Linked DNA regions of Drosophila melanogaster. The protein of the gene in region 4 interacts with the protein of the main gene of each other region in a pairwise test. Each region holds a gene or a part of one and is shown on either strand. Other genes may lie near its edges.

Region 1 (8,589 bases), on a different chromosome or scaffold from region 4:
AACACACTGAGATTTTTAAGCACCGTGCGGCTAGCCTGATCCAAGAGTATGGTGTGGAACTTGTTCATCTCCTGGAAAACAAACAGCACACAAGGTTTATATAGCCCATATAGGATGTCACTGAAGCGATTACCTGGAAGCAGTGAATCAGCTTGCCCAGCGCATTGTGCGCGTTCTTATTGTCGAGAAAGTGCTGTTGTAGATCCCACAGGGACATGGCAAAGGCGCTAAAAAGTCGAGAATATGGCGAATCGATGCCAATGAATATGAATGAGCTAGGATAATGGCGCAGTGTGTTGTTTACCTCTGGTTCTTGACATACTCCTTGCCCGAGTCCACGGCCACATTGCACAGCTTGATGATTTTCTCCAAGCGCTGCTCCAAGTGCTCGATGTCGCTCTCCTCCTTGGAAACAAATTGTCTGCGGGGCGAGAAGCACAAAAAAAAAAACAAATCGAAAACGTTAGCACAATATCGTCGAGATGTAAACAAAAGATGGGCATCGGCTTGCGAGTGAGCTGGTGATTAAAATCGTCTTTGACTGGCTGAGCAGAGTAAACATAATCAACCAGCTTAATCAAAGAAGTTATCGCGGGGGCAGCGGATGATCCGACGCTCTCACTCTGCCTCTGTTTATGTTGACACTTTTAATTTATGCGGACTTATTAAAGCGCTGTTTGCTCTTCCAATTGAACACGAGTCGCCACCAAGTGAAGAAGGAGGAGGATACCCCATCTCTGGGGACAAGTTTTTGTATCACTCTGTTGCGTCTTCTTCGGGTTTTTCTCGTCTTTTTCCCCTGTGTCATCCATCGATTTGTCGGGCATTGCTTTTGTTTTAACTTTGTGTTTATTTTCTTGGACGTACTCGTTCCAGAGGCTAGCTACATGGTAATTTCGAATGGAGGTCTGTCTATTTCAGCAGTCAATTCATTCTGAGAGTGGCTTTGAAAAGTCGTATTCCGTGATAATATTGCTATCATACACAGTTTTCATTTTAAACTAATGGCTTTCGAAAGCTTCATATATCTTCAAATATGTGTTCGTCATTCAAACGATTGAGCCAAATGCACAATGAGTTGAAGTTTTTGATAAAAAATAAATCGTTTAATTCTACTTAAAACTGGAAACTAGTTTAAGCTAGTTTAAAAAAATGCATAACATTGATACATTTTACTATGGTTGCGATAATATCTGCCTAGTTCTGAAGCAATAGAAATGTCCTACTTTACAGATCCTTAGATTTCTTATTTTTTATATGCATGGCAGAAAAGTTCACATATGATTCACATAATTTATTGTAGTGTACTTCGGTTTCGAAACACCAAGGTCAAGTTGGCACTTCCACAAATGATAAAAGAACCGAAGTGCAGGAGAATCCAAGATAGTCTTGATTTCCTGTTTTCTTTCAAGTGAAGCTGCTGCAGGTGCGAAAAAGTGGGGAAGATGTGATGGGGCTGCTGGGCAAACAAGTTATCGCCGCGTTTGTGCACCGTTTTACGAGGGAAAGCTTTTGTCTTTGGACACGATTAGTGGAGAAGCGGCAATTTGGGTGAAATCTTATCAATCAGCGGCGGGCATTGAAGCGTTCGCGGACGGAGACGAGAGCATCGGCAATTTAATTGCGGAAATAAAGGGGCAGGCAGGCACATTCCACACTGCTGACGGGACAAAGTTTGTTCGATGGATGATTAAGCCGCGTTTTCAGGTGGAGCAGGTGGGGCGGTGTTGGGCTGTATCTGGTTTTGGATAGTAACCAGTCACGCTACATGGAGCAATTCGAATCTCACGCCAAATGCGGCTCAGGATGGGCACACAGTGGGGGCGGGGCTGCAGCTTATATGCACCTGAATCTGGGAGAATCCTTCAGGCACTCCTCGAACTCGATGGTGGCGCGCATTTTGGCCACCACGCAAGCAGCACCTAGACTGCACTGCTGGCTATTTCGCTACGCTAATTGAGGCCCGTGAATCTTTGTTGGCCTGTTGCTGCTGCTCTGCTTTGCTTTGCTTTCCTTGCTGAAGTGGGGATTTCGATGCGCGATTTTCGAGGGCGGCTCTGGGAGAAGCTAATTGCGGGCAGCAGGAGATATGGTGATTAGTCGCATCCTTGGCAATCGACGGCTACACACGTTGAGCACTGGCCCTAATTAGCGAAACTCGCCAATTTACGCGATTCGGGGCCGAATTTACCAAATTTACACAGCGCGCAGAGACAACAAATTAAAACGTCTCACTTTCTACTAGAGCAGATCGGTGTGCCCGCACTCGCAGCGAAAACAAATCTAGCAGCGCGAATGGTCACACACTTTGGCGGGCTTATTTGCTTTTGCTCATATCTTTTAAAATTTTAAATGTATTGAATGCTTAGTGTTTTCCTTGTGCTGATTTTCGTTTTAAAACTCGATTAGTTACGAAGATTTCAATTCAAAGGCATAAAACAACGCACATTGACATTGTCAGCACGGTTTATCAGTGTTGGAAACTTTTGTAGCTAAGAAGAAGCTAATTAGGAACTTAAATTCCCTAAAAGAAGATACAGCCCAAAAAAGATTTGGGTTCTAGCCATAATCAATGTAGATGTATTTAAAGTACAAACGATGACAATTTTAAACACCAAAACAAGCAAATCCGTTTCAAGCTACCGCCAGCCAAGTCAAATCTAGCTACAAAACAGATCAGCTGACAGCACCGCTGGATTTTAGGGTGCCCGCCTTGTGCGACAAGAATCCGCGGCCAGTGCTGCACAAGTGCCATTTTTCATTTCATTGTTCTGTTCTCTTTCTGCTGGTGCTGTTTTGGTTTAAGTGCAATTATCCACACAAGTACGCACCGAAAACCGATGCACCTGCACCGTGCACCAAGTGTGGGAGTGCCCAGTGCCAGTTTCATTTATAAAACTATGAGTTTCGCACGGCAACCAGCGCAGCTGACCGACTGACCGATCAGAGTCTCACGTCCCCCCTCGCCTCATGTGTTTACCCCTTGTCCAGCGTTCTATTTGCGTTTCGTGTCCGCTTTAAATCGCCTCATTTGCATACAACTCGACGGCTTTACGTCACAACTCTTTAAAATCGGCGAAGTAGAGGAGGAGGAGTGAAACACGCCCATTCCCGGAGGAAGCATTAGACCGACCTGTTTGGAATCCAGAATGTGGAAGTGCCACAAGTGCGGCAAACCCGTTTACTTCGGTAATGCACCCACACACGAGCGCATTGCGATCCGTAAATAACTTGTAAATTATATTTATTTATGCCCCGCACAGCGGAACGTAAACAATCGATCGGCTACGATTGGCATCCGGAATGTTTGCGCTGCGAGGAATGCGGCAAACGCTTAAATCCCGGCCAGCATGCTGAGGTAGGAGGATCACCTGTTAGTTAGCCGATCATGTGATCTATATAAAGCCTTTTGTTTTCCTTTCAGCACAAAAGTGTGCCCTACTGCCATGTGCCCTGCTATGGCGCCCTGTTTGGACCCCAGTTGTTTGGCCACGGCACCCGGGTGGAATCGCACAAAAGCTATGGGGTGAAGGGAGCCCAGAAGCCAACCGGAGCTCAGGCCAATGGCCCGCCACTCCCACGTGATCACCTGGAGTCCAAACTTAAGGTGCAGAACGCAATACCCAGACATATCAATATCTCATGACTCACCAAATTCCCTTTTAATGGGCAGGTCTACAACCAATTCTACGACAACAAAAGCCTGGAGATACGTAGTCGTGAGGTCAACAACCGGTTGGTGCTGGAAGGCGCGCTTAGAGTTTACTGGGGCGTGCAGGGAGTGATTCATCTCAAGGAGGACGATGATCAGCGCATCTTAGTGCGCAAAAGGAACTCTTGCCGTGTGTCCAAGGCTGCCAATGTAAGCTGAATCTATAACATAACAAAACGTTATTTATACAATTGTACCCACAGGAAAGCAGTTCGGATAAGGAAAACGAAGCTAGCGAATCGCTGGCTCCGCCCACCACCACCACAGCCGAGGTCGATCAACTATCCACGGATGTTTCCCTTTCCGAGAGCATGACCTTCGACTCCTGTAGCCTGAACGAGATCTCCGAGTTGCCCACAACCCCAGAAGATGCCTCGGCCAACACCACAGCCAACAGCAAAGAGCAGACCAATGGTAATGTGTGCAACGACGACGAGGATACGACCACGACGGACTCATCTGGAACCCTGGTGGAGGCTCCTACTGCCAGCACAAGTTGTGTGTCCAGCACATTGCCTTCGAAGTTGGACCGTCTGGAAAAACTGGATTGGGACGACATAGACGATCTGCTGCAGGTAGAGAGACGTCACAACGACAAGGATCGCATTTATGAAACTATGCCTGTCAAACTGCCGTCGTCGCAATCCTCCAGCGACAGTTCGCCCAGCAAAACATCCACAGAGACCACTACGACCACTGAATCAAGCTCGACTCAATCGGCATCAACAAACACCAGCAGCACGGATGATTTTATGACCGCCACGGGATCGTTGACTGCCAACACCAATACGCAGAATACAACAACGGTGTCTACTACTGAGACCTCTCTGGATAACTTCGAGACTTGCGATGACGCTACCCTGAAGCCTATTGATTTCGAGGACTTTAAGCGTAGTGTCCACCAGGACTATGTAAATGGGGCCAACTCCTTTACGGAGCCCAATGAGGGCACCCTTAAGCGTAATCAACCAATTGATCCCTCTCGCATTCACGACTCCCTTAAGCTCTACGGCGAGAATTCAGCGATGAGCAAAAGCTTTAATTGTGAGCATGCATTGCGGTCAATAGATCCCACTTTAATCAACGACACCATGAATCTGCGCAGTAGTGTGGGCTCTCCTCACTCCGCACAGCGTCAGTACGCCTTACAAAAGAGTGGATCGGCCACAGTAACCAGCAGGGATCAAAAGAAGCCATATCAACAGGGGCGGCAGTTGTTCGAAAAGGGCATCAACCGCTCCAAATCGGGACCCAGCTGTTTTGTGTACTCCGACAGCGATGACGACGACGAGGCCACGCTGCGTCCCCAACGTATGGCCACCATTCGACGCAGCGACATACCTCAGCGGTACATACAAATCCAGATGGACTGTTATCCCAAAGAGAATGTGGCTGCTGCTAGCGAAGGTGAGTCAAGTCGGGCAGATGCTCCATCCATAACCAGTGGTGCAGCGGCCGGCGATGAGCTTACGCAAACCGAGGATTTGTACACTGCAAGCGAGGGCGTTGATGGTCCAGACGGAGATGGATCGGCTGGGTTGCATGTGACGGAAGATGGAGTTGTGCTGAGAAGACCTCCACGCACAGGAGCTTCTGCCATCAAGCGACGAAGTGGCAATCGTCGGTAAGTTACTGAAACTTTTAATGAAGAAATTGTGTTGTAATTCCAACTTCTTAATCAATAGTTCTCGTACCAAGCTGAAACGTCGGTGCTCTATCAATGGTCACTACTACAATCGGGAGACGTCGTTTTTCACGCCGCCCTACGGTTCTCAAATGTCAGTGTGGGTCTCCTCGATGGTGACCACCACTGAGGTTATCAACTTGGTGCTGGAGAAATACAAGGTGGACAGTTCGCCTGGCAATTTTTCACTCTTCATTGTTCGCGACAATGGTGAACAGAAACGTCTCAAGGACGACGAATATCCTTTGATAACGCGCGTCACTTTGGGACCTCATGAGGATGTGGCTCGTATATTTTTAGTGGATTCTCGCAAAACTGATGAAATCAGGCAAGTTATAACACTCCTTTTCAATAGAAGTTTGCTTACGTTTCTTTTGCATCGCTGCAGTAATGAAGTTGCTCAATTTTTGAATTTATCTTTGCCCGAGTGCCGTGCTATTCTGGAGCGCTACGACCAGGAACTGGCCCGCGAAGTGGCCAAAATAAAGGAAAGGTGGGTTTTAAAAAATAATTTTACATCCCAAGACTTTGCATTGAAAGAGAATTACTTTTCCGCAGATACGCCGAATTGCGACGTCGTATTGTCAGTCGCATGGAATCTCTGAAAGTGCATTTGTAAAACGTAAATGAAACCTCTGGCATAAGAGCAATTTTTTATTAGCCATAACATGAATGCGGCCAAAAAAGAAGTGTCGGCAGCAGCACAGCTAATAGTATTCACGTTTTTATACGAGATATATATTTTTATGTAGAATCTAGAGAAAATTACGAACTAGCAAACATTAGGCGCCCAGTGAACAAAAAGCAGCTGCTGCTCGTCGCAAAATACATATACATACATTACGTTTAGGGTTCGATTCTTCCCAGCCGAAACTAACAATCAATTCCAGGCATTTCCATTCGTTTAGAAAGCGTTTAAGACTTGTAACTAACCAAAAAATAATTATTAATCCACAACATTACCATACAGTTTTTTGTTTTATGTTAATAATCAATGTATGTGCTTTATGCAGTCACGTTAAAAGCGTTGTCATTCATGTATCTATTGTACAATGTTTAGCTTTTAAGCCGTGACATGAAGCACAGGTCCTGCTAGTAGCGTGTAGTTGAAAGCCATTTTATCGAGTCATTGAACAAATGTGTGAAAATCAATTTGATTAGAAATCGCAATGCCTGCGAAACAATAAGAATAACTGTGCACATACTTCATATTGCATAACATGGACTTGTTGATTGAAAATCATTTGGAAATCCAATAAAATGAAAATTTTACAACAGAATCGCCGCCTCTTTCGGTGACCAGCCAAGCGGAGTTTAAGGCCCCATGGTCGCCAACAAATTCCGGCAAGTAACGCGTCCCTAGTGCAAAGGGGCGAACCTAAAGGCGGCAGCAGTAGCAGAAAGTGTGAGCCGAATATTCAAAAAAGGCAGCAACCGGCGCCAGCCGTCCGTGCCCAAATGGGGATCAAGTGGAGGTGGACCTCTAGCCCCCCCCCCACACACACACACACACATACACACACTAGGGTGGGGGCAAACCGATGCCCTGTCCTGGCCAAAGCAGCCATCAAAGCACAAGTCAATGATGCCATTATAATAGAGAAACGACGGAGGAGCAGCGCGGAAATAGCGACGAGGACGAAAGTAGGCAAGCACTGGCTCACTCACATAATAAATGCACACCCCACAGCGGCACAGAGTGAGTGTGTGTGCGTGGCTATTAATTTGAAACTGACAGAGCCTACGGGTCTCCATTCCGGCTACAACGTGGTTGGGACTCCGCAACAACTACAGGACCGTGCCAGCGTTGGCCAGCCTTTGAGACGATCCGATGCTGATGCTGACGCGTTAAATGGTTTTGGGGTTTCCCGGCCAACAGCAGCCGCGCTGGCCTGGTCCAAGTGTGCCAAGCGCCAATACATAAAAATCAACAGCCAGCGACACTCGGCAAAAAAAGAAGAAGACTCAAGTCCATTTGGGATGCGAAGTCGCATTGGGCGCCAGTGGCAGGTTCACGACCCGCTGCCTTGGCTCCAGCAATTATCGCCTAAGAGCATTGCGAATCCGCATTCCAGAGCTCTGGCCATGTTGGCGGCCCTAAGAGAGTCCACAAAAATCGATTTTAAGCCATTTCTAGTCGCTATTCGCCTTGTTGGTGGTGGCATTCTGGAAGGGCCTGGCAGTTGTTGCGCCAACGGCAAGGGGGTGGTGGCTATGTGAGAGCGAGGACACATTGCGCATACGCAGTGGGTTACACTGGAAAAAAGGTCATAGAAGTGGAAGTACACAATTTACTTACAGATACTTTCGTTTAGTTAACATGACTTTAAAGTGCTTAAAAATATGAAAGCTAATATTTAATATGTGTTAAGATTTTGATTCTAAACTATTTTGAAACATAATTCAAATGATTCACTCGCCAAATGCGATGTGACAACCCTGCTGGTGTCCAGGCATTCCAGTGACTCTCTTAGCGCATCCTTTCGCGCTCTTAGGCCTCGGAACTGGTGTCGCAAAATTCCAATGGTGGCTGTCACTTAGCAGCTCGTCTTCGTAGGCGCTCAGTTTACGTTTCGGCCGCGTCGCCTTCAGTTCCCCAGTGTTTCGTGACCAGGCTGCACTTCATCCGCGGAGGCGCCTGCTATTGCAAGAGCAAACACAGAAACAGATTCTAAAACAGAAACAGAAACTGGATCCCAGAGCCAACTCATTGTCATTCATAGCTTAGCATAGTTGCTGCGTAAGATTGTGTGTGCGTGGATAGCAGCGGCAGTGAGTGTGCGTGAGTGCGTAAAACCGGAGGCGTCTGTAGTTTTCCACAGGACATCGCACCAGCGATTTGGACTAGCGAGAGCGGAACCCGTCAACAGGGCGCATCGCTTGAAGCACTTCCTCCGTAGCCACCGCTGACATCTCCTGTTCCTGTTCCCGTTCCCGGACGTCGATCATGAAGCACTCGCCGCTGATTGCCAGCGCTTGTCTGGCGCTGGTGTTGATGTCATCCAGCCTGATTGGCAGCACCGAGGCCAGAAACAAGAAGAAGTACGTCGGCGAGACGGGCGGCGATTTCGAGTTTATCGATGAGGTAAGTTCCAAATGGCTTTACGGCTATCCAGCCATACATCCAGGCCCCCATTCATTCACTGTCTCCGCTTCGCAACGACTCGGATTCCCCGTCTGAGTCTCGGATTCG
Region 2 (7,188 bases), on a different chromosome or scaffold from region 4:
TGCCGCCTGTTAAGAAGCCCAAGGCGCAGAAGATCGAGAAGCAAAGCACGCCCAAAAAGCCCATCGATGCAGCCAAGAATGTGGTTTCCGGACAGGTGAGCGGCTACCAAAAACAAATGCTCCTCCGTTGGGTTGGATAACCGTAAACTGCGTCCATTTTAGCTAAAGAAAAAGGTGACCAAGGCCAGGCCGCAGAAGCCAAAGGGTCCAGAACGCGGCGTGGTCATTGTGAAGCACCTGCCTCACGGATTCTTCGAGCAGCAGCTGCGCCAGTACTTCCGACAGTTCGGTCGGGTGCTGCGCGTCCGTTTGGCCCGTTCGCTGCGCACCGGTAACAGCAAGGGCTACGCCTTCGTGGAGTTCGAGTACCCGGAGGTGGCCAAGGTGGCTGCCGACACCATGGACAACTACCTGATGTTCCAGAAGGTGGTGAAGGCCACCTACATTCCACCAGAGAAGCAGACACTCAACTTCTTCAGGACTTCCTTGAAGAAGGTTGTCAATAAGGTGCGTTCAAAGGGAAATACATCTAATGTCCGTTTGTTATTCATAGTTGTACTTCACTTGCAGGCCGGCAAGGAAATCTATGTCTCGGATTTAACCAAAGCCACACAGCGCAGCGTGAAAAAGCAGAATAACTGGGATGAGTCCGCCTGCCAGAAGCGCACCGTGGCCAATCTCAACAAGATCAAGAAGCTGCAGGAGAAGTACAAGGATCTGGGCATCGACTTCTCCAACTTACTGGTGGAACCAGTAAAGAAAGCAGCAGGCTCCGCTGAGGCATCTACAAGCCAGGCAGCCGCCAAGAAAGCCGGTAAGAAACAAAAAACGGCCGCGAAGAAAGAACCAACGCTGGAGGATTTGCTGGGCAACACCATCAACGAGGACTCCGATGATGAGGACTACGTTGATGCATCCGATGATGAGTCCGATCTGGAGGCTGAGGAGGAGCAAGCGGACAGTGAGCAGACCAGCGATGACAGCGACGAAGAGGAGGATTTATCACCGCCGCCCAAGCAGAAAAAGACTAAGCTGGCTGATAAACTGAAACGCAAGCCCGGCACTGGTGGTGTGCAGAAGAAGAAAATAGCTCCGCCGGCTAAGAGCAACAAGAATGCCGCCACCCAGAAGTTGCAGCTGGCCGCAGCCAAGTCGCTGGCCAAACCCTTGCCCAAGGGAAAGGCCAAGAAATCCAAGTAGTAGCTTAAAATACATTTACTATAGTTGTTAAGTAAGCGAAAACATTTTGTAAGATGAATTGTGTTAAAATATGTCCTTGTACAAACTAAAATGGCGTTTTGGCCGAGCTGCCTTGCTGCTCCTCCAGTTTGATGCGCTTGCACTTCATGCGTCGATTTTGGAACCACACCTTCACCTGGCGTTCGGTCAGCTCCAGCGCCACTGCGATTTCGTAGCGACGCAAGCGAGTCAAATAGTTGGAATAGCAGAACTCCGCTTCCAGCTGCTTGAGCTGCGTTTTTGAAAATGCTGTGCGTTCCTTGCGATTCGAGCTGATTGCCCGGAGTTTGGACCTTTGGCTTGGAAGTTCTTGACCAGTAGGTGCCTCATTTTGTAACCATTGATCGTTCGCTTCGTTGCACCAATTAGTTTCTAGTTTATTGTAATCCGCGTAGGAAGAAGACGCACTGTGGTCATATACATAGCTGCAGTCCGTATAGCCCTCCGTTTGGTTCAGCCACGATTTCGTAATATCCTCGTAGCAATAGGATTCTTGGTAGACGTTCGCGTGGGAGTTCTTCATTGCCGATGTCTTTGCTTCTAGGTCTAAACTATTACTGAAATCTCAGATTCGGCGGAGCTGCTTTTTAAACAAGGCGCAGAGTGTGCCAGGCCAATCTGCTTTTTCACTTAGTCGCAAATGATGTGCTGCTGATATGATAATTGTGCGCAACATCTGGACCTCGGGTATGAGTGGTTATGACACCCGCAGATCGGCTTGTTGTCTTTGCCTACGAACTGTTGTCACAACAAACCCGAATCCGATTCCCAGCCCCTTCCCCAGGCGTCCGGTCAGAAACGGAAGTGGACGCATGAGTCAAGTGCTTTGTGCCACCAACTGCGGAGCTATAAAATTTTAATAGACAACCGTCGGCGAGTCGTAAGACCCAGTCGGAGATTTATCTGAAAGTCGCAATTGCACGCGCTTTTAAAGTCGATGCGGCGGATTACGAGTGACCATTGAGTGTATATTCCTAGATAATCCATGACAAAGTGGAGTTTTATATAATAATTAATGGGGAAATAAGTGCGTGTCACAGAAATGGTTAAGGGATAAAATAGTTCAATAAAATAAGTCTTACGGGGGTTTTAGAAATTAGAAAAGAAATCAAAAAATTTTGATATCCTATTATGAAACCAATTATAAAATGGACACAGCAAAAACGTAAATTCTAGCTTCTGCTTATTTTTCTTGGGGCTTAGGTATACCCTTTTTTATTTGAGTTTTTATTAAATAATATACCGGTATATGAAAATTAACCGGTTCCGGTTTTAAATTATCCGCATTTATTTTCAAACTGAATAAGTGTTGGGTAATCTTTTTTGGTTAAGGCATAGGCACATTTCAAGTGTTGCCAGACTATGACATTCCAAAGGGCATTCAGTGATATCTGTTGTCCTTCGCTGTGTAGTTATTGTTTGGCTAGATTTATTCATATATTTCTTTTAATTTTCCTTTGTCAGCTAATAAATCTCATTTAATCTAGAAAAAGTATACAAGAGGTTTAAATATATCTATCGATAGAAATGAAGCAACGGTAGAAATACTTTCCGATATCTATCGATATATTAATACTTTTATGCTTCCCATCCCCAGTGCAATAGTACAATTTACAATTTACAATCATTTAGTACAATCTGCGATATCTGGGCATCCACATTCGCCAAAATATGTGCGGCTAAAACCCCCCGCGAACCGCTAAGCGGCGGCGAAACAGTCGGACAAAAGCGACATAAAGAAACGAAGCGAGAAGCAGACGGGCGAATTAAACAAGTTTCGTTTGCGTGGAACGCAGAATTGCGTGGAAAGAAAGCCAACGAAGTAGAAGAAGAAGCAGCGCAGCAAATGCAATAATGTTTAATGTTTAAACAAATTCGCCAAGGAGTTTCATTCTTTTTTTCAAATCGTCATCCGTGAGTGCGTGTATGAGTGTTTGTGAGCGTGTGTGTTTGTGTGCATGTTGTGAAGTGGAAAGAGTGAAAACAAAATGAGAGTGTGCAAATGAAGTTGGCCAAGCCCAAAACAGCGAGAATTAATTAAAGCGACTAAGAAAAGTGGCCGTCGCCCAAAGGATTAATCACGCCCAGGGGTTACCCACCCACACCGCCAACCAACCAAACGAAAACTCGGTGAAAAGAGTGTGAACCGATCGGCAGCAGGACGCCGAAGGACCCAAAATGAGCGAGGAACTGAAAGTGGTGCTGCGGCGCAGCGAGCAGCATTCCGGTTTCGGGTTTTCGCTACTCGGAACCACCGGACCGCCACATGTCATCTACGACATCGTCGAGAATTCGCCGGCAGCCGATTGCGGAGCGGTAAGTGAAGCAAACACAACAGCACACCGCAGTTGCAGCTCCTCTGCGCCTTTGTGTGTGCTGTGTGTCATTCCATTCCCGTCTGGGACAGGAGGACTGGCGGAGTCCTCACACCGAGCGGCCCATGCCACCCCCTCATATCCACCCACCGGTGACCTCCGACCACCTCTACCAATGACTTCATCAACCACCGGGCACTGGAAGCAGCCAGCGAAGAAGCAGAAGCAACAGCTCCCTTGCTGGGCTCACTTTTGGCAACGCCACATTTTAGACTACAGTAGAGCCTCGACAAGGCACACCGCCCAATAGCGGAATTTATTAAAGATCATTAAATGGAAATACGTAGCTGGCAAAATTGACAAAATTCATAGAAATCATGCCAGTTTCTAGTTAAGATTGCTGTTCTGCAATACTCATTTTTCCCTGGAATTTTGTGCTTTTCAGGGAATATTAAGGAGATTTTAGAGAATTGACAAAAAATTGACAATTGACAAAATTCATAGAAATCATGCCAGTTTCTAGTTAAGATTGCTGTTCTGCAATACGCATTTTTCCCTGGAATTTTGTGCTTTTCAGGGAATTTTAAGGAGATTTTAGAGAAGTGCAATAACAAATTGTGTGATTTCAGCACCGTTTTAAAATTTTTGAAGGATTTGTATACCGTCCAACTGCCGTTACATAAGCATTCAAACGGAAAACAAATTATTCATGACGTTTTATCTGACGCAAAGTGCATACGTACATATGTATGTATGTATGTACATACATAGATAAGTACGATTTTTTATGGCAGCTGGTGGCTTGAGTTTTGGAAGTTGGATTGTGTGCAAAGCGACCGAGACTCGCCCCTCGGCTGCTGATAAGAATATTTTCCACTTTTCCACTTCTTTTTTTTATGGTGATGACCATGGCTGTCTGCTGGCGTATGTGAAAGCATTTCAATTTGCACAACGGCAACAAAAAAAAAGCGAAAAAAGCGAGAAAAGCGCAAATGAGAGTCCTCCGTTGGCGTGTCATCATTGTTTGCCGCTCGTGATGTCATCGTTGCTTTAATTGATGGGTGGAAGGGCGCTGGAAGGGGGCGAGGGGCGGGTAGTCTCACACAAAAGCCAGTGTATCAATTTTCAGGCTTGTTTTGCTTTTATTTACTATTTACTGTCATCGCATCGCATCTCGAATGTTTAGAGCCGAGTGCAAAAGAAAACAAAGCGTGTAAATATAGCGAACAAAATAAGGCAAATAATTTGTCTTTCTTTTCAATAAAATGCTGATATGTTTACTGTTCGATTGTTTTTGCTGTGTAAAGATCAATTTATTGTCAATTTAATCGAATCGGAATTCTCATGATATAACCAGCAGAAAGCGTTTTGTTCATTTTAAAAATATCTACATATATTGTAATATCAGAGACTCGGAAAGTATTATAGAATTTCTCTTGAAAAAGCCCATCCGCACCATTTATCTTATCTAAGTAAATTTAGTATACAATTCATAGAGAATAGTCACCTTTTGGTAGCTATTACCAATCTGGATTTCTCAGAATGGGATTCTTCGATGAACGCACCCAGCGGATATTGGATAAGAATGGACTTTACGTGGGGCCCATTTCAATTGTTATTAATTTCCCCATGCAACTGCGATTCGAAAGAGTTGCAACGCAAAGTTAACAAATCGACAGAATGCAAATGCAGCGCTATAAAAAGCAATGCAAAGACAACAATTTATAAATAAACTTACTCAGGCCGATGCTAACACACACATAAAGCCTCCGACTTACTTTGTAATTATCGGACGTGGCAACAAAAAAAAAAAAATAATAATAAAATAAAACGATTTACACGAAAACCCAAACAGAATTCTCCAGCTTTGGTTGTTAAATTTATGCGCCCGACCACCAAAACACAAAAAACCACAAAAACTTGGTCTCGAACAAACAAAACAACAGAAAACAAATCGAAATGCGTGAAAGCAGAGTGCAAAAAAACGCGTTGGGAATTTTAAATTGTTGAGATTATTAAGTAATTCCACACAAGCCACACAGGTATGATGGAAAGCAACACAATTGCATCGCGGTAATTTTCTTGAGGCAACGAACTGACATCGACATATGGACATGTATCTATATATATACATAATACATATGTATATGTGTGTGTGTGTTGATGTGGATGCAGCGGCACGCACTTTTTCAATTTCTTATCGCTTTCGCTTACAACTTGTTGTTATTTTTGTTGCCCGGCTTGTTTTGGGGCTGTTTGACTTGTCTTCTATCTACATACATGTGTATCTATGCACACACTGCTTATAAAGTGGGTGCTCCAGAGTATCTTGGCACCTAGGGTGTTTAAAAACAATATTTATAATTTTCAATTCAATTGATTTGATATTTATGAGCCGAGCTATAACAGAAAAATATCATATTGAGTTCCTAAGAAATTGTATTATTTAGGGTATCGGTTACGCTCCACGTTGCCTTATAAACGTTATATACAGAATTTTTCTGCCTCATTTTTAAACTTAGCACCTTCAACTGTAAATAACTCTCATTTACAAAGCATACCATCTGTAATTAGTTGCTTTTTCAAGACCGCACCCTGTAAGACATAAAAACTAATGAGTAACCAATGCGTCGGCTCCTCGAATGCAATTAATTTTACTTTTTATATGCCGTCATTCTGGTTGCGGTACAATTTTATTTTTCAATGAATGCACAAACACATGCACACACGCTCTTCTCAACTGGGTGTGTACAAATTGTGTGTATGTATGTATGTTGCATGTGTGTGTGTACGCTGTCGTCGGTTGTCTTTTGTCGCCTTCGCTTTTCCATTTCCCATTTTCTTTGCCTGGCTTTTCTTTAGCTAAGTTCCCTGCCTCTTCGCAGTTGCTGCTCTCTGTTTGTTGTCATTTCTGAATGCATTTACCGCACGTTTGTTTATTTTCCCACTTCTTCAGATACATCAAGTATACTCCACACACTCGCCAGACGACAAAAGTATCTGCGTTCCGAGGTGGCTGAGTGGCAAATTGTATTGCATTAATTGCGCTAAAGCAGTTACGCCTTTAAATCTAGTCGATTTATATAAATGTCTATGCGCACTAGATAGATTCTACATTAAAACCCATTTATAAATATCTTATTGTGCTTTTTCAAAACTTTAGCCATATGATATATCTATTTAAAAACAAACATTGAATGCTTGGGCGAAACTCCATGCCAAACACTCATGATCAAATAGCAAATACACAACTAGTTGTTGATGTTTTTCGAAATTATTTATATTCGTTTAGTCATTAATCTTTTGGGTTGCCAAGTGATTTGCTCTCTCCTCGCTCGCCACTCAAAATTACTTTTTTGCCCAGCTGTTCGAGGAAAAGAATTTAATACTTCACTTCTTTTTGTTTTTAGGGCAAACATAAAATCGCAAACGGGACAAAATAAAATACAAAACCTTTAGAACATCAGTTGTGTATACCTCCATGGCATTTTAGGTTGCCTGTTTTTTTTGCGCCTCCTGCGAAATTTGTAGCTTCTTTTGTTCTCGACTGGCGTTGTTGCAAAATTCTAACGTTATGCTTAATTACTCGTTAACTGGAAATGACAAACGACTTTTCGCCGTTGCCGCTTTCGTT
Region 3 (7,638 bases), on a different chromosome or scaffold from region 4:
AGATAATACAAGTTGTCACCATTCATTAAAAGCCAATTGAGGAACTTATTTCATTTGTTGATATATATATTAAAATGGTATTTATATTTCTTAGGTACCTCTCCGAATCAGGAGCCAGCTTGGTTGATCGAAAACTCAATCTGAATGTGGTTCCAAAGACGCGAGTGGTCAGATTGGTTGCCGAGAGCTTTAACTACGCACGCATTGATCGACAGAAGGCCAAGCTGAAGAAGCGCATTAAAGAGCACTATCCGTCGGCTCACTTCAACCGAATGAGCCTTCCTCTAAAGGTGAACTCGTCTCCAAAAACAAACCGATTGGGTATTAACCAAGTCAAAATTCCTTGCAGACTGGCTCCTTTCAGCTCTTCGTGGAGGGTTACAAGGATGCGGACTATTGGCTGCGGCGCTTTGAAAGCGAACCCTTGCCGCCTTCAGTGGCGAAGTCGTTCCAACTGCAGTTCGAGCGCCTCGTCGTGCTCGATTATATCATACGCAACACGGACCGTGGCAACGACAACTGGCTGATCAAGTACGTGGCCCCTAAGATCACGACCCAGGTGGGAGGCACTGGCGGCAGAACTATGCACGGAGTTGTGACCCCCAAATTGCCCAATGCGTTGGGGGCTTCAAAAATCGTTGACCTAAACGAGCCGCCGCAGGCTAGCCCGAAACCGACTACTGGTGGTCGCCCTTCGAACCACCTAGCGGGTGGAGCAGCCACAAGTGCACAGCAAGATAGCAGCAGTTTGGCCAGCAGCGAAGATGAACCCTCGTCGAGATCCCCCCCTACGTCGGAACCCGATTGGAATGTGGTGAACTCGGCCTTCATTCGGATCGCTGCCATCGACAATGGTCTCGCTTTTCCCTTCAAGCATCCGGACTCTTGGCGAGCTTATCCCTACCATTGGGCCTGGTTGCCACAGGCGAAAATTCCGTTTAGCGAAGAAATCAAGGAGCAGGTGCTGCCGCAGTTGTCAGATATGAACTTTGTAGAGGAGATCTGCACGGAGTTGTTGTACCTCTTCCAGCAGGATCGCGGCTTTGACAAGCGTCTCTTCGAGCGCCAGATGTCGGTGATGCGGGGCCAGATTCTAAATCTCACACAGGCACTGAGGGATGGCAAGTCGCCGGTGCAACTGGTCCAGATGCCAGCGGTGATTGTCGAGCGGTAAGTATCATACTTTCATGACTCCGGATTATAGGAGGCCAATAATGGTTTCTAACATTTCAGATCAAGTGGCAGTCGTTTCTTCTCTTTTACGCAGCGCTTCCAAAATAAGAGCCCTTTCTTCTCTTGGTGGTAGGTTGCCGATTCATTGGTACTTCGTCGCATTGTCACTTACTAGCCACTTACTTCACTTTTAGCTAAATGACCATGGAGCAGCCCCTGCCGACCCCACCAAAAATCAAATCGAGCAGCCGGTTACTACAGTCTCATCTTTTTCATCATGTATATGCGCTTAGTTGTTGTCTAGTATACTTCCAAATCGTAATCACGGAGCACGGAGCCTAGAAATGTATTTTTTGCCAAAAAACTCAAATGGTCATATTCAATAATTAATTACTTGTATTACTAGTTTCTGGGATGACTTACCCATACCATGGTTACATATTTAGGAAATATCTTATGTTTGTCAAGTGCTTGTATAGTCAATTGTTTTCGCATAAAGTATGCAGAAATCAGAAGGAGATCATTTTAAAGCACTCGCTCAAGTGGTTTATACATTTCTTTATTATTTGAATGAAATCATAATGCATATAGGTGAAAAATACAAAGCTCATTTACATTCGTTAGCACTTGAGTTAAGGTCGCCCATTGTTATTAGCATTAGCACATATTTAATGGTTTCCTTTCCTCCAAACTAAAACTCAATTTATTTCATTATGTACGGTTCGCAACTAAATAGTGTGGGAATATATATATATATCAACCAAAATACATATGTAAAGTATTTAAAAGGCAAGCCTTATATAAAAGATATTAAAACATTATAAAAGTTTAACAGAAACTAAAGCCCTTTTCGAACATAAGTATGTATATACCTTATTATTTCATAACAAAATATCTTAAAACTACTAGCAGCCATACTTAAATCCAAAGGACTTTTTTATCCGAAATTTAATCACTACAGGAGCCAATCGTCTGATGCATCGGATGTCAGTCTACTAACCACGACTGCCTGGCTTTTCTGGACACCAATAACATTGCAATCCGTACTTTGAAATGTATCTTCCGTTGGGACACGAGGTATGAGGACTGCATCAGGTGCGATAGTTTCGTTTTTAATGTCTATTTCAACATATGGAATTTCGGATTCCATCGCATTGAGTTGTGCAACTATTTCAGAATTCGGTGACGTGTCCGGTGCCAGAGGCTCGTTTTTAACTGGTATCTTGGAATCAGTTTGAAAACACTCTTCCGGAGTGTCGGATATAATAGTTACATGATTCGTTGGCACCACGGACTCCCGGTCATCGTCTTTCTTATCTTCACTCCCTTTGGAAGCATTCTCATCCACGGGGCTCAAGAACATTTCAGTATCTGCACTGAATTTTGCAAAAGCTCGCTTCGGCGTAGCTAGGAAAGTGGATATCGAAGGCTGAAACCCAGTACGCAGCATAGATGCCCGACCTTCGTACTTGTACCACCGTATGGGCACCTCTCCAGTGACATAGAGATCGCGGCCCACGGGAACGGTGCTTATGACTCGCTTTGGCTTGAGGAAGCGAACAAAGCGCTCCAACTCCTTGTAGCTGGAGTGTTCTGAGTACTCAATGCCGATCGTGCTAATTCGCTTGCCGTACGAAGGCTTTGAGTTCTTTTCCCAACCGCTGGGCCTTATGCCCAGCAACATGTCATATTGGTCCTCGAATTCAGTAAAGTAATCGACTAGGCTCTGAAACAAAATAATATCGCTAACTAAAAAATTGATATATTTTAGAAATACACTTACCGGATAGCTGATTTTTCCCATTGCAATGACGTGCAAGTTTGCTCCGCTGCGATCTTCTGTTAGCACGGAGTCTAGATCCGGCCAATTCAGGCATCTTACTGCAGTGCTGCGATTGCTTTCCGTCCAAACCCTCATTGTGAACTCCTTCGCTAAGGCCAACCATATCTTCTCCTTTCCTATCACGTAGGAGCCGCAGACGATAAGGATTCGTTTGGCTGCATTTTTCTCTAGGAAGGCGCGCACCAGATCCACCGCTCGGTCAACGCTCTCGCTTTGGTGGCAGAAGTCGTAGTTTTTGTTCATATACGTTGTGTCCAGATAAAGCAGGTCGATGTTTGAATGGTTCCAGAAGATTGGTAGGGATTCCATGTCCGCGCTAGCTCGGAAGTCCCCGGTGTGCAGTATGCATTCGCCAGAGCTCAGTTTGAAGAAGAACATGAGTGCTCCAGGACAGCTGAAAGGTGAGAAATAGCAGTTTGGTAAGCTGCCAAAAAAAAGCGACTGCTCTTACTGGTTAGCTTCTAAGGCGGTTACTTGGACGCCATCTACGTCCAGGGTCTGGTCCACATCAATTTCGTGAATGTGCGTTTCATCGAGTTTAATAAACGTTCGCACCAAGCGCGCTGAAATAGGACTCACGTAGAGGGGATGGCAGAACTTTTTAGTCAGGCCGATGTAGTGATCCGCATGAAAGTGCGTGAGAAAGTAATGTGTGACTCCCTCTATTTCCCCAAACTGAAAGCCGTCGACGCAGAAGGATGTACCCTCCACTACTTTATAGGGCGGACAAGGCTTTGGTTTTCTTTGTTTGCGTACAGTTCCTTTTTTAGAGTTTTTGCCCAGGGGGCTTTCCTTTGTGATTGCAGCCGGCGATGACCGGTAAAAGTTATTCGTTGGGGATTTGTTGGGACCGGGGGAGATTTCCACTAGGTCTAGGCTGGAATTGCTTAGCTTGGCTTCTGGCATGGAAGTCTCTGGAGTTCTAAACTTGGTTGCTTGGACATCGCTGCTTTTTTCACAGGGAGAGGCTATCGCGGATGGCTTTCTTTTTATGGTCTGCTCGTCCTCGGAGCACAGGTCAATTACGTGCACTTCGGAGAGGCTAGCGTTCTCCTTGCCTTTCGCACGGCGACTAGGCTGCACTCGCTTCTCTGACGGCTTTGCATCCAGCTTGCCCGTAAAGGCAGATGAGGTTGTTGTAGACTCCTCGAAGAGGCGCTTGCGCCCTTTGGTAGATACCTTTCGCTTGTCCAACGGAGGATCCACCTTCCTGCAAGAGGAACTTGACTTGACTTTGTAGTTCTTGACGGCACTTGTAAAAAAGCTATCGATGCGCATTTGTCCTGGCAGCGGAGTCTTCTTGCTGGAACGCTTGAACGCAGTGCTGGCTATGATTGGACATGCTTCCGTCTTTGGTCGGACCTTTTTTGTCGTGGAAGCCGCACGAGTTCTTCCCGCTCTTTTCTTGTCCGGCGTTCTGTTCTCGATCGTGGGCGTTGGGTCCGGTTCTACATTTACTCGTACTGTGGCCTGCAGATCCGCAATGGATCTTATCTTTATTTTCCCTACATTGGACATCCTGTTTACATATAACAAATAGGGCCAGGATCGCACGGTTCGATTGCCAGAGAAACCGCTTTTATCATATCGACAGGCGATAAAGCACAAGGTCATACTAAAATCAAGCGCTTAATTTAAATTGCCGCCATATCTCTCAAGCAAAAATTAAGTATATATAATCTTTTTAACGATTTTCGGGAAAGGATTAGGAATATGGCAGGGACCACGATTAAATGCAATTCATTGCTTAAACGCAGCCATACCATTGGGAGACCAAATAAACTTCCACAGCAGCCGATATGCCGACAGACTTAGCGCCCACCCGAACACGTTGGCGAATGATCTTGTCGACCTTATTTCCCTCCGACGTCTGAAGAGAATACAATAATCTCTCCACGGTACATATGTGTACACTATAATTAAGGAACAGAATCCATAATATCTTTTAAGCTACACATTAGGTTAAGTTCAGAAGGAACTGAACGATTCCTAATGCATAATAATAAATGATTTAAACTTAAAAAAAAAAAGTTTAAAAAAATATATGTATATATATTTTATATAATTTTAATATAATATTACCTGCACAGCAGTGACAGCACGGGTTTAGATGTTTTACATATCCATGTACATAGCAGCATGTTCACTTTTAGTTATTAAAGTTCGACCAGTGATATTTTTATTGAACTGAAAATGTTATGCAACTATCGATATTATATATATTCAACAGATATTATTTCAATATAAATTCAACAGAGGAGTTAAACTTATTAGATGCAGGACATACGACCCAAAACTCAGTTGATGTATGAGTACTGCTTGAATGTGTCGATTGCTTGTCAGTGTTATCGTTGGCCTGCCACCTCTGGTACAATATTATAACAAACTAAACAAAACAACAAGACGGTGGAAAAAGGGAATCTTGTGGTGCGGATTGGTAAACTGGGCTTCTTCTTCCGCGCCTTCAGCATGGCGTGGCGATCCGTGGGAGCCAATAATGAAGACCTGATTCGCCAACTGAAGGGTGAGCCCTTGAATTCGCTCCGTTTAATGGGCCGAGTTAATAATAGAACCGAATCCCCAAGATCACGGCGTCATTGCAAGTGATGCGGTGGCCCAGGCGATGAAGGAAACCGACCGCAAGCACTACTCTCCGCGCAACCCCTACATGGACGCCCCGCAACCCATTGGAGGAGGTGTCACCATCAGTGCTCCTCACATGGTAACTCCTAGCCAGGACATTGAAAAACAAATAGTTTGCTCGCCATGTTTGCTGTGGGAGTCAATGCCCACACTCAAGATGCTTTTAGGAGGCAGCATAAAAAAGTAGCTTTCTTTAATCCACTAAAAACATATCAATGGCTCATCATTTGAAGACTAGTTCTTCACTCCCGTAGCTTCTTCCCATCATATTCTTATAATTTCTGAAAGTAAAGTGTCTTTTTAAACTGGAGATTAATACATTTTTCTTTCCCAGCATGCCTTCGCCTTGGAGTATCTACGCGACCACTTGAAGCCCGGTGCACGTATACTGGATGTGGGCTCTGGATCTGGCTACCTCACAGCCTGCTTCTATCGTTACATCAAGGCTAAGGGCGTTGATGCGGACACCCGAATCGTGGGCATAGAGCACCAGGCAGAGCTGGTGCGGCGGAGCAAGGCCAACTTAAACACCGACGACCGTAGCATGCTGGACTCCGGCCAGTTGCTGATCGTCGAGGGTGACGGCCGCAAGGGATACCCCCCGAACGCCCCGTATAATGCAATCCATGTAGGAGCAGCTGCTCCCGACACACCCACCGAACTCATCAACCAACTGGCCAGCGGCGGACGCCTGATAGTTCCAGTCGGTCCCGACGGCGGGTCTCAGTACATGCAACAGGTGGGCAGATGCTGATTCGTATAACTGCTGGAATAATATGTATATGTAATAATAATAATATATATATATATAATAATATACATAATAATATATATATATAATAATATACATAATAATATATATATATCATAATATACATAATAATATATAATAATATACATAATAATATATAATAATATACATAATAATATATAATAATATATAATAATATAACCATTTTTACAGTACGACAAGGACGCCAATGGGAAGGTGGAGATGACACGTCTCATGGGCGTAATGTACGTCCCTCTCACGGATCTTCGCTCCTGACTGCACAGAGTGGGAAGGTCGCTCGTTGCGGTGCTGCTGCTCGTGTTTTTTCTCTACCTAATTTTGGCTTACTAGTTAATCAATCAATCAAAATTAAATTGCTTTTTTTCACGTTGAGTGCAAATATATAAGTTTACCGAACAAACGCTGTCTTTTCGTTTTTTTGTTTAAAGTTACCAAGCAGCTTCAACATTTCATATTACATTAATGAAATCATAATTTTTTTATGTCCGTAGTGAGATAAATTTTAACTACACCTTTAAGAATTTTTCCCCGATTTACAGATTTAGTTTTAATAGTGATGAAGAATAGGATAATTGTTAAATATTCGTGCTTAATATTATTAATTAAATACTTATACTTCGAATGGTTAAGTTTTAAATAGTTGACTGGCTTTGTTTCATCAAACCAGCTCACCATCATAGACATTTATAAATTGAGATCCAACAAGTGAACTATAGATGTCCGGAACGTAAAATATAATTTAATCAGTCACAATTTAATCAAGTGCTAAAACACCAAAAGTGTCCCTAAAACATTCAGGAACAGCATTACCATTTATTTAATCAGGATGTTTTAAAAAAATTACGTTTATACCCGTTATTCGTAGAGTAAATAAGTAGACTATAAGTAGATTCTTCGAAAAGTAGAAAACAGGCAGAAGGAAGCGTTTTCGACCATATAAAGTATATATATTATTGATCAGGATCAATAGCCGAGTCGATCTGGTCATGTCCGTCTGTCCGTATGAACGGGATCTTAGGAACTATAAGAGCTAGAAGATTAAGATTCAGCATTCTAGAGACATCGACACAGCGCAAGTTTGTTGACCTATGTTGGCACGCCCACAAACCGCACAAAAATGTCACGCCCACAATTTTGAAAAATGTGTTAATAATTTTAAGCAAAAATACAGTTTCTCTAGATTTTT
Region 4 (7,724 bases):
TCGGTTGCCAATCATCGGAGCCAGCGGCGTGCGACAGAAGTAGAAGCGCACGGCGCCGCCCAGCAGGAGCAGTTTAAAGAACTTCGAATCCATCTTCTAGTTGGGCATAGTTTTTGTGAACGGACTCCGCCTGTAAAAAGCCGCCTACAGCTGGCTTGGTGGTGGCAAAGGCCTTCGATAAATTATCGATTTCCTTGTCACGATATACGGCTTCTGGTCTACTGTGTAAGCAATTATGATTTTTTTTAGAGCTTTGTTTTCTTCAAGTTAAATATATTTATTATTTTTGGAATAACAAATTTTGGCTCAAAACAGGATTCCAACTCGCATAAAGTTTTTAAGCTTGGAAAAACTTGTACTTGTATCACGCGCTCATCTCTATGTATCTGTTCCATCTCTCACCAACTGGTTGTTGTTTTTGGACCCGCTCTTGCGCTCGAATTGTTGGAATATATATTTCATTTAATTAAGCACAGAAAGCAGTAGTAAAAATGATTGGAAGTAAAAAATCCAAGGAGGCGAATGTCTTCAAGGAAATCGCAGAGAACTTCGAGCAGCTGACCAAGAATCCAGAGCGTTTTCTCCAGTTTGTTTTCCTTCCAAAGACCGCGCACGTGTTTTTTCAAACGTAGTCAAAACAATTTATATTTCAGGCCACAGCCGGAACAAGTGAATGCCATCGAGCAGCTTATCCAGCAGACATACGCCGTTAGCATCAGCGAGGATGTGGCGAACAAGAAGGAACTGCTGCCGGAATTGGTGCTGGAGCAAATGGACGAGGAGCAGATCTGGCAGCAACTGGAGATTCGCAACGAACTAGTGTTCCAACAGGTGCTGGAGCAAACCGCCAGGCTGACGGCGATGCGCGAGCAGCACCTGGGCATTGAACTGGACGATGGTGAAGAAATAGAGGAAGAAGACGAAGTAATACAAGCTGAAGACTCAGGCGATGAGGAACAAGATGAGGAATCAGACTTCAGCGACGAGGATGGAGGGCTACAAAAGCAGAAGACCGCGCCGCCGAAAGACAAACGAAACAAGCGACTACGCAACTCTGTGGTGGACGATACCTTCTTCAAGTTGGAAGAGATGAATGAGTTCCTGGAGCAGGAGGATGCCAAGGAGATGCGCCGCCTGAACAGCAAGAAACGCGTTGAGCAGGCCGATGATATAGATCATTTCGCAGAGGATTTTGGTCTTGGCGAAGATGAGGAGGACGATGAGGAGGGGAATGTCAACTATGCGGACTTCTTTGACATGAATGAGGAACTGACAGAGCATTCTAAAAAGATTAACAAAGGCAAGCAGAAAGATTTCTTCAATGAAAACGAGAGTGAAAATGAAAATGAACCGGATGAGGATGCAAATCCCAAAGAGGGCGATTCTGATCAAAGCGAAGGAGACGAGGGCGATGATGAACCTGAAAATGATCAAGATCCAGATGAGGCGGCCAGCGAAATAGATGAATCCGAATTCGTGGCAAAAAGTGGCATAGAACCTGCCAGCGATTCAGACTCGGATTCGGAGAAAGAAGAGGAGGAGCCACAACCCACAGAGCCACCGTCCCAATCATCCAATGAGATGAGAGAGGCTCGTTTGTTTCAACGCATCCGCGACTACGAAGACATTGTCCTAGGCGAGAAGCCTTGGCAGCTCAAAGGCGAAGTAAAGGCAGCCAATCGGCCCCAGAACTCACTGCTTGAGGAGATTCTCGACTTCGATTCGACCACCAGGCCAACGGCGCCAATCACGGAAGAGGATAACCGCTCCATCGAGGACATAATTAAGCAGCGTATTCGCGACAAAGCATGGGACGATGTGGAGCGCACTGTGCGACCGGTGAACACCCCGCAAGAGTACAGAAAACAACTTGTGCTTGACCAGGAGAAATCAAAACAATCGCTGTCGCAGATCTACGAGGCGCAGTATCAGCGCGAAATGGAAAAACTCGATCCCAATCGCGATGCCGATGACAAAACTGGTCCGGAACCGAAAGAACACCAAGAAATCAAGCGGGCAATGCGTTCCCTATTCCTTAAATTGGACGCCCTCTCCAATTTCCACTTCACGCCGAAACCGGTGGCGCCGGAGATCAAGATCGTAACGAACACACCAGCAGTTCACATGGAAGAGGTGGCCCCGCTGGCGGTGAGCGATGCCAAGCTGCTGGCACCCGAGGAGGTGTTCCGCGGACCCAAGCACGCTCCACTTGGCAAGACCGAACGCGATCGAACGGATAAGAACCGCGAGCGCCGCAAAAAGAAGCAAAAGCAGCGGGCCATCCACTCGGCTCTGGAGCAGCGCGAGCTTCAGCGAGCCAAGGAGGGCAAGGCGCCCACAAAGAAGGAAGCGGATGCCAAGCTGCTCAAGACAATCACCAAGAATCGCAATGTTCAAAAGGTATATAACATTTTAGTTTATCTCTGTTTTATGTTTTGTATTTAATTGCTATTCTTGAGCGATTTTGAATTCTAAATGAATCAAACTTTAAACGATTTTCTTGCAGATCAATGCCAGCAGCAACGACCAGGGAGCTCTGAAGTCCTCAAAGGCTTTCTTCCACAAACTGCAGGATACCGCAGCGGCTACAGCATCCAAAAAGCGACCGAAAAAGGATACCGCCAAGGCGGATGCCAAGAAGCTGAAGCTTTAAACGTACACGCTAGGACTCCTTCATATTGTAATTGCCTTAAGCCAGCAAAGTTTTCTCGTCTCCAGTCACGTGCCAGAAAGTTGTCACAAGCACACACGTATGCCCACATAGCAATCCTTGTTGCAAGAATATCTTTAGCATGTACTGTGTGTCTGGGGAGTCCCCAATTTGGTGCTCCATGGGAGATGCCATGTGTCGGTACTTTTAATGTTCCATGTGCGCGGATCCATCGTATGTGTATGTGATGCGTGGGCGCTTTGTGTGTGGCGGCGTGTGAGTCAAGGACATTCTGTGTCCTGTTGAGGCGATTAGGCACGCGTGCAGCTTGCGGAATTTGACTATTCTTAGAATTATTTACTTAAAATAACTGTTTGCTATGTAAATAGTACCCTAATTAAAGAAAGCAAAGCAAGTAACGTAGCCACTTGTTTTTTTGTTGGATTAGAGTAGAAATACTCAATCATATAATCATCATCATAATTTCTATATTACATTACAAAATTAAAAAATTTAATTTTATCTTCTAAGGGAGAAATAGAGATGGGATACAAATCGAAATCGATATGCTATAACGGTCAATTTTCCAATCGGTTTTGGTGAAACAGCTGCTATTGGTGCTCGGCCCTGCGAAGGGGGTGTGTATTGGCTAAAGTTGTGACCGTGCCTGAGACATCGGTAATGAAAATAGTTCCCGATATCGACTGTAGCTACGTTTTGCGATTCTGAACATATCGATATTAAAGCGTAGCACGTGTGGTTGTGGTGCATTTTAAATATAGTTTTGCTCGAGTTTTTACGCATCTGTCAAAAAAGCAAAAAATAATATGGTTAAAGTACAGAAACCGCAGCCCAAGTCGCTGAACAAGAGCGCCAGCATCGAGGGCGTGGTTAAGAAAAAGGGTAAACCGGAAAAGACCAAGAAACTGGCCACAGACGCTACTCTGGAGTTGGCCAGCAACAAAAAGGCAAAGAACGCGGCTCCGGTGAAAAAAGATGCCATCAAGAAGGAGCCGGAGGTGTCCAAGAAGGGAGCCGAGAAGAAGCAGTCAAAAGCGGCCAAGCGCCCACTAATTTTGGCTCCTCCTGAGTCGCCGGCTGCCCCCGCACCAGCGGCGAAGAAGTCTAAGGCAAAGCCGGCCGCTTCTGGGGCTCCGGTCGGCAAAAAGATCGAAGCCAAAAAACCTTTGATTTTGGCTCCTCCAGAATCCCCTGTGCCACCGAAAAAGCAAGAGAAAAAGACTAAAGCTGCTCCTGTGAAAGCCAAAAAAGAGCCAGCACCAGCAAAGAAGTCTGTGCAAGATCCCGTACCTTCTATTAAGAAGGTTCCTGCAGCTAAAAAGTCAGGACAAACTGCTGCACTAACGAAAAAGACTGCGAAAACCGAAAAACAAGCAGCACCAGCTAAACCAGCAAAGGCTCAGCCCGCTTCGCAGCTCCAAAAGAAGGCAAAGGCGGTGCAAAAGCTGTCTAAGCCTGCCAGTCCACCCAAATCCAAGAAGGCCCTCAGCAAGTCCAAGCCTGGTCAGGCCAAAGGCAACGCTGTCAACAAAGAGCCTGCCAAGTCTAAAAAACCAGTTGAGCTGACCTTCGAATTGAAGGCCTTTGACGAGAAACGGTTCCACGAGATTGTCAATGAAAATAATGTGACGAAGGTGTGCGCGGCATTGAAGTCTGTTGTCTCCGAGGAGGTGGAAAAGAAGAAGAACACCTCGATCTTCTCTGATTACCGCTATGTTTTGCAAGTTTGCAGCTACAAGATCCCCAGCTGCCCAAAGCGCATGGTCAAGTTGAATCTGAAGCATTCGTTGGTGGGCAAGGACGACGATGTGGCTCTCATCGTGCCAGATTTGCAGCGTGGAGCCAAGTTTGACTATGATCCCACCAAGCAACACTACGAGGATATGTTGCGAGAGGCTGGTGTGAAACAGCGCCTAACCGTCGTTCCATTCAACCAGCTGCGCAACGAGATGGGTTCCTTTGAGGCCAAGCGCAAGTTCCTCAACAGCTACGACTACCTGTTGTGCGACGGTCGTTTGTCAGGACAGGCTACTGCCTTTTTGGGCAAGGTAAGAAATTCTGCCTGCTAATGAGTGGGTTCCAGGAAGACAAATCTTTCTTTTGTCCGCAAATAGATCTTGTGGGAAGGTCGCGAACATTCGTATGTATTTTTTTAAGGTATTCATATATATTCTGAATCAGGGTATCCTTCGCAATGTTTTATGATGAAATGAGATTAATCCAGCCATATTAAATGTTATTCTCTTCCAAATTGTAAAACATTTTTCAAATCGGGAGACTGTATTTTTATTCAGCCATATGAATTACGCGGATTTTATAGAAATCTAGGAAGAACTTTAATAGAATTTATTAACTATTTTCTAAATTTGCAATACCACTGCCTTATCCATTTGTAGAACACCCAGAAGCCCCGCAACGTGCTCCACTCACTGCGTCTGAGCAAGGACAACGATAAGCTGCCACAGGAGGTGACCCGCGCCCTCACCCGCACCGCATTCAGGCAGTTGTCAAAGGGAGATCTAATTGCCGTTCCGGTGGGCAACCACGAAATCACCGCCGAGCAGTTGGCTGAGAACATTCTGCTGGTGATCAAGCAGCTCCAGGAAGTCTATCCGGGTGGACTGGCCAACATTCGTTCGATGTACCTCAAGATCGATATCACGGGAACCAGTGCGCTGCCACTATATGTCAGCATGTGTGCACCACCGGAGGATGTACCATATGTTGTGGGTCCTCGCGAGCAGCGTATGCTCAAGCTTAAGAAGCAGGCCAATGAGGTGCTGTCCAAATTTGCCATGACCAAGGATGCGGAGTTCATTAAGCTCACCAGCGACCAGGTCAAGCGCAAGGCCCAGTTGCGCAAAGAGAAGGCTGCACTGCTGGCTGCTGATGCCGCTCCAAAGGACAATGATGGCGGGGACGCAGCAGTGCCCGCGAAAAAAGCTCGCAAGGAGTCCAGCAGCGAAGGCGCAAAGGCTGATGCAGAATCCGATGAGGAGGAGGAAGTTGAGGAGGCAGAGGACAGTGCTGGCGAAAGTGGCGATGAGGATGAGGAGGGACATGATGGCGATGATACTGATGAAGATGAAGATGAAGATGACGATGACGATAATGAAGATGGTGATGACGATGAGGACGAGGACGACGATGAGGAAGACGATGACGAGGAAGACGATGATGATGATGACGATGAAGAGTAATACGTCAGTCTCATTGCTCATTGTTAATTATAGGGTATTTCTATATATGCATAACAATCTTGCTATAATTCCGTTTGCAATTTTTATAACAGTTTTAGATAATAAACGAATGTTTTAAGTATGGAAACTTATCTCTTTTAATAACCGCTCATTTAGTAACATTCATTCGATCGCGGTTGCGGCTCGGGACTCTTTTTGGCTATGAACACTGGGATCTTTGTTGTGAACCCTGGGCGGGATCTGCATTACAAGAATCAAGAATCAGCTCCACATATGATGTAATTCAATAAATTCCTATACTACTACAAATATATTGTTTTTCTTTAATTCATTCTCTCTTTTTAATCACTCAATGCCAATTTTTTTGTCATTCAAGCAAATGTAATATTACTTATCCGCCATGATGGTTGTGTAGGCATATATGTTACTTAATTGCCATGACAATCAAAAATTATTAATATTCTGGGGAAATTCATACTCGCACTTTGTATATTACATTATTGAAATAGGATTAAAATAAAATATATTATGCAATTGTGCATATGCAGTTGTTATAGTATGCAAATTTCGCATTTAAAATCGCTTATTGCCCAATGGCATGCTATCGATTTCCATGAATATTCACCCATAACGCATATCTGCATTCTATGAAATCAAGCATGTACATTTTACCTTATGGTCGCCGATTTTGAATGCCTTTTCCAGATTGCCAGCTCGCGGAAAATGGCGCAAATTCCAGTTGACATATCGCGGCTCAAAGTGGATGCCAACAACCCTTCGTGGCATCCTTTGAGGTCATAAAATCCTAATATGCATTATGGCAACGGTCTTTGCTCAGCGGGAAGTTGCAACGTGTACACACAACAAAGTCAATTTCAATTTTCATAATAACTGATTTATATGCATATATATTTTATATATATTTTTTTCGTAAAACTCCTCATTTCCGAACCATCTATCCAGTGGGAGTACAGCAAAATGCAATTTCTTTGATGTCTCGCCTTTGACGAATTATGTATTATGAGTAGGTTGACCAAAAGTAGCAATTCGCTTGCATAATTTCTCTTAATTAACATGACTCGCCGGAACTTTGACAGTAGAATGTTCATATGTCCAGCTGTCTTGTCCAATTCCATCGTGCGAGATCCATTGAGCGGCTTTTTTACATGGGCAAGGTCGCTGCTCCAGAGATTAGAATCACGTTCATGGTAACCGCCGAATAAGTATGGCAAAAACCAAATACCAAGCCGGACACGTCGTCGGAAGCAACAAAAACATTGTAAAGCTTTTATCAGCCCAAATTATCATTAGCCGCGTTCTCTGTGCCTGCCATAAAATCCATATATATGTATTTGTCCAGATAAACATGCATACTTCCATGTGGATATGGGCGGTTAGGATTCCCTACATACGCATTTGGCATTTCCCCATTTCCGCTAGCCAACCTTTTGGTACACATGAATTAGCTTCTGAAAAAATGTGGGTCACTGAAAGGATTTACATGGATTAAGGTATATTAAGCTGAGTTAGAAAACAAAAAGAACTTGCAATTCGTTAGCACTAATTGTCAAAATAATTCAATGAAAATGCTCTATAAAATGATACTTTCCTTAACATTAATGGATTCCAATTCACATTGGTCTGTGGTAATTTGAAAAATATTTTATGATTGCAAATTTGAATATTGAATATAATATTTTAGACAACTGGTCTATACTAAGTTTTAAAATATCATATAATCACAAGTCAATGAAGTGGCCATTATTGAATATGGAACATATTTTTGTAGGCAACATAACCTTTATTTACTATTTAGGATTGCCATAATCAAATATCAACAGCAACCATTCAAT

What was found.
Region 1: the proteins of CG13096 (region 4) and Rassf interact in a two-hybrid assay, tested with the Drosophila melanogaster proteins (one large-scale study listed by BioGRID).
Region 2: the proteins of CG13096 (region 4) and Efa6 interact in a two-hybrid assay, tested with the Drosophila melanogaster proteins (one large-scale study listed by BioGRID).
Region 3: the proteins of CG13096 (region 4) and Snm1 interact in a two-hybrid assay, tested with the Drosophila melanogaster proteins (one large-scale study listed by BioGRID).

Annotation. Positions count from the first base shown.
Region 1 is NT_033777.3:23,112,099-23,120,687, reverse strand, and holds Rassf (Ras association family member), read left to right. Parts: upstream 1-2,756; 5' UTR 2,757-3,149; coding exon 3,150-3,189; intron 3,190-3,263; coding exon 3,264-3,358; intron 3,359-3,424; coding exon 3,425-3,607; intron 3,608-3,673; coding exon 3,674-3,862; intron 3,863-3,915; coding exon 3,916-5,336; intron 5,337-5,397; coding exon 5,398-5,724; intron 5,725-5,784; coding exon 5,785-5,889; intron 5,890-5,954; coding exon 5,955-6,015; 3' UTR 6,016-6,674; downstream 6,675-8,589. Other genes in the region: CenB1A (centaurin beta 1A), read right to left, coding at 1-71, 134-227, 305-421, 1,847-1,899; Cow (carrier of wingless), read left to right, coding at 8,344-8,481.
Region 2 is NT_033777.3:22,584,864-22,592,051, forward strand, and holds the start of Efa6 (exchange factor for Arf 6), read left to right. Parts: upstream 1-2,891; 5' UTR 2,892-3,417; coding exon 3,418-3,555; intron 3,556-7,188. Other genes in the region: CG6937 (uncharacterized protein), read left to right, coding at 1-95, 163-507, 571-1,200; btn (buttonless), read right to left, coding at 1,286-1,762. UniProt on the Drosophila melanogaster protein: Guanine nucleotide exchange factor for Arf6. Regulates axon growth and branching by inhibiting microtubule polymerisation at the cortex. Together with shot, promotes axonal microtubule bundle integrity.
Region 3 is NT_033777.3:5,552,031-5,559,668, reverse strand, and holds Snm1 (Snm1), read right to left. Parts: upstream 4,586-7,638; 5' UTR 4,535-4,585; coding exon 3,468-4,534; intron 3,411-3,467; coding exon 2,957-3,410; intron 2,900-2,956; coding exon 2,129-2,899; 3' UTR 1,883-2,128; downstream 1-1,882. Other genes in the region: Pi4KIIalpha (phosphatidylinositol 4-kinase II alpha), read left to right, coding at 95-290, 350-1,170, 1,234-1,302, 1,368-1,371; Pcmt (Protein-L-isoaspartate (D-aspartate) O-methyltransferase), read left to right, coding at 5,486-5,540, 5,602-5,738, 5,994-6,398, 6,624-6,707.
Region 4 is NT_033779.5:8,507,522-8,515,245, reverse strand, and holds CG13096 (uncharacterized protein), read left to right. Parts: upstream 1-3,379; 5' UTR 3,380-3,477; coding exon 3,478-4,719; intron 4,720-5,067; coding exon 5,068-5,871; 3' UTR 5,872-6,177; downstream 6,178-7,724. Other genes in the region: PIG-U (phosphatidylinositol glycan anchor biosynthesis class U), read right to left, coding at 1-93; CG13097 (uncharacterized protein), read left to right, coding at 492-586, 654-2,400, 2,507-2,653.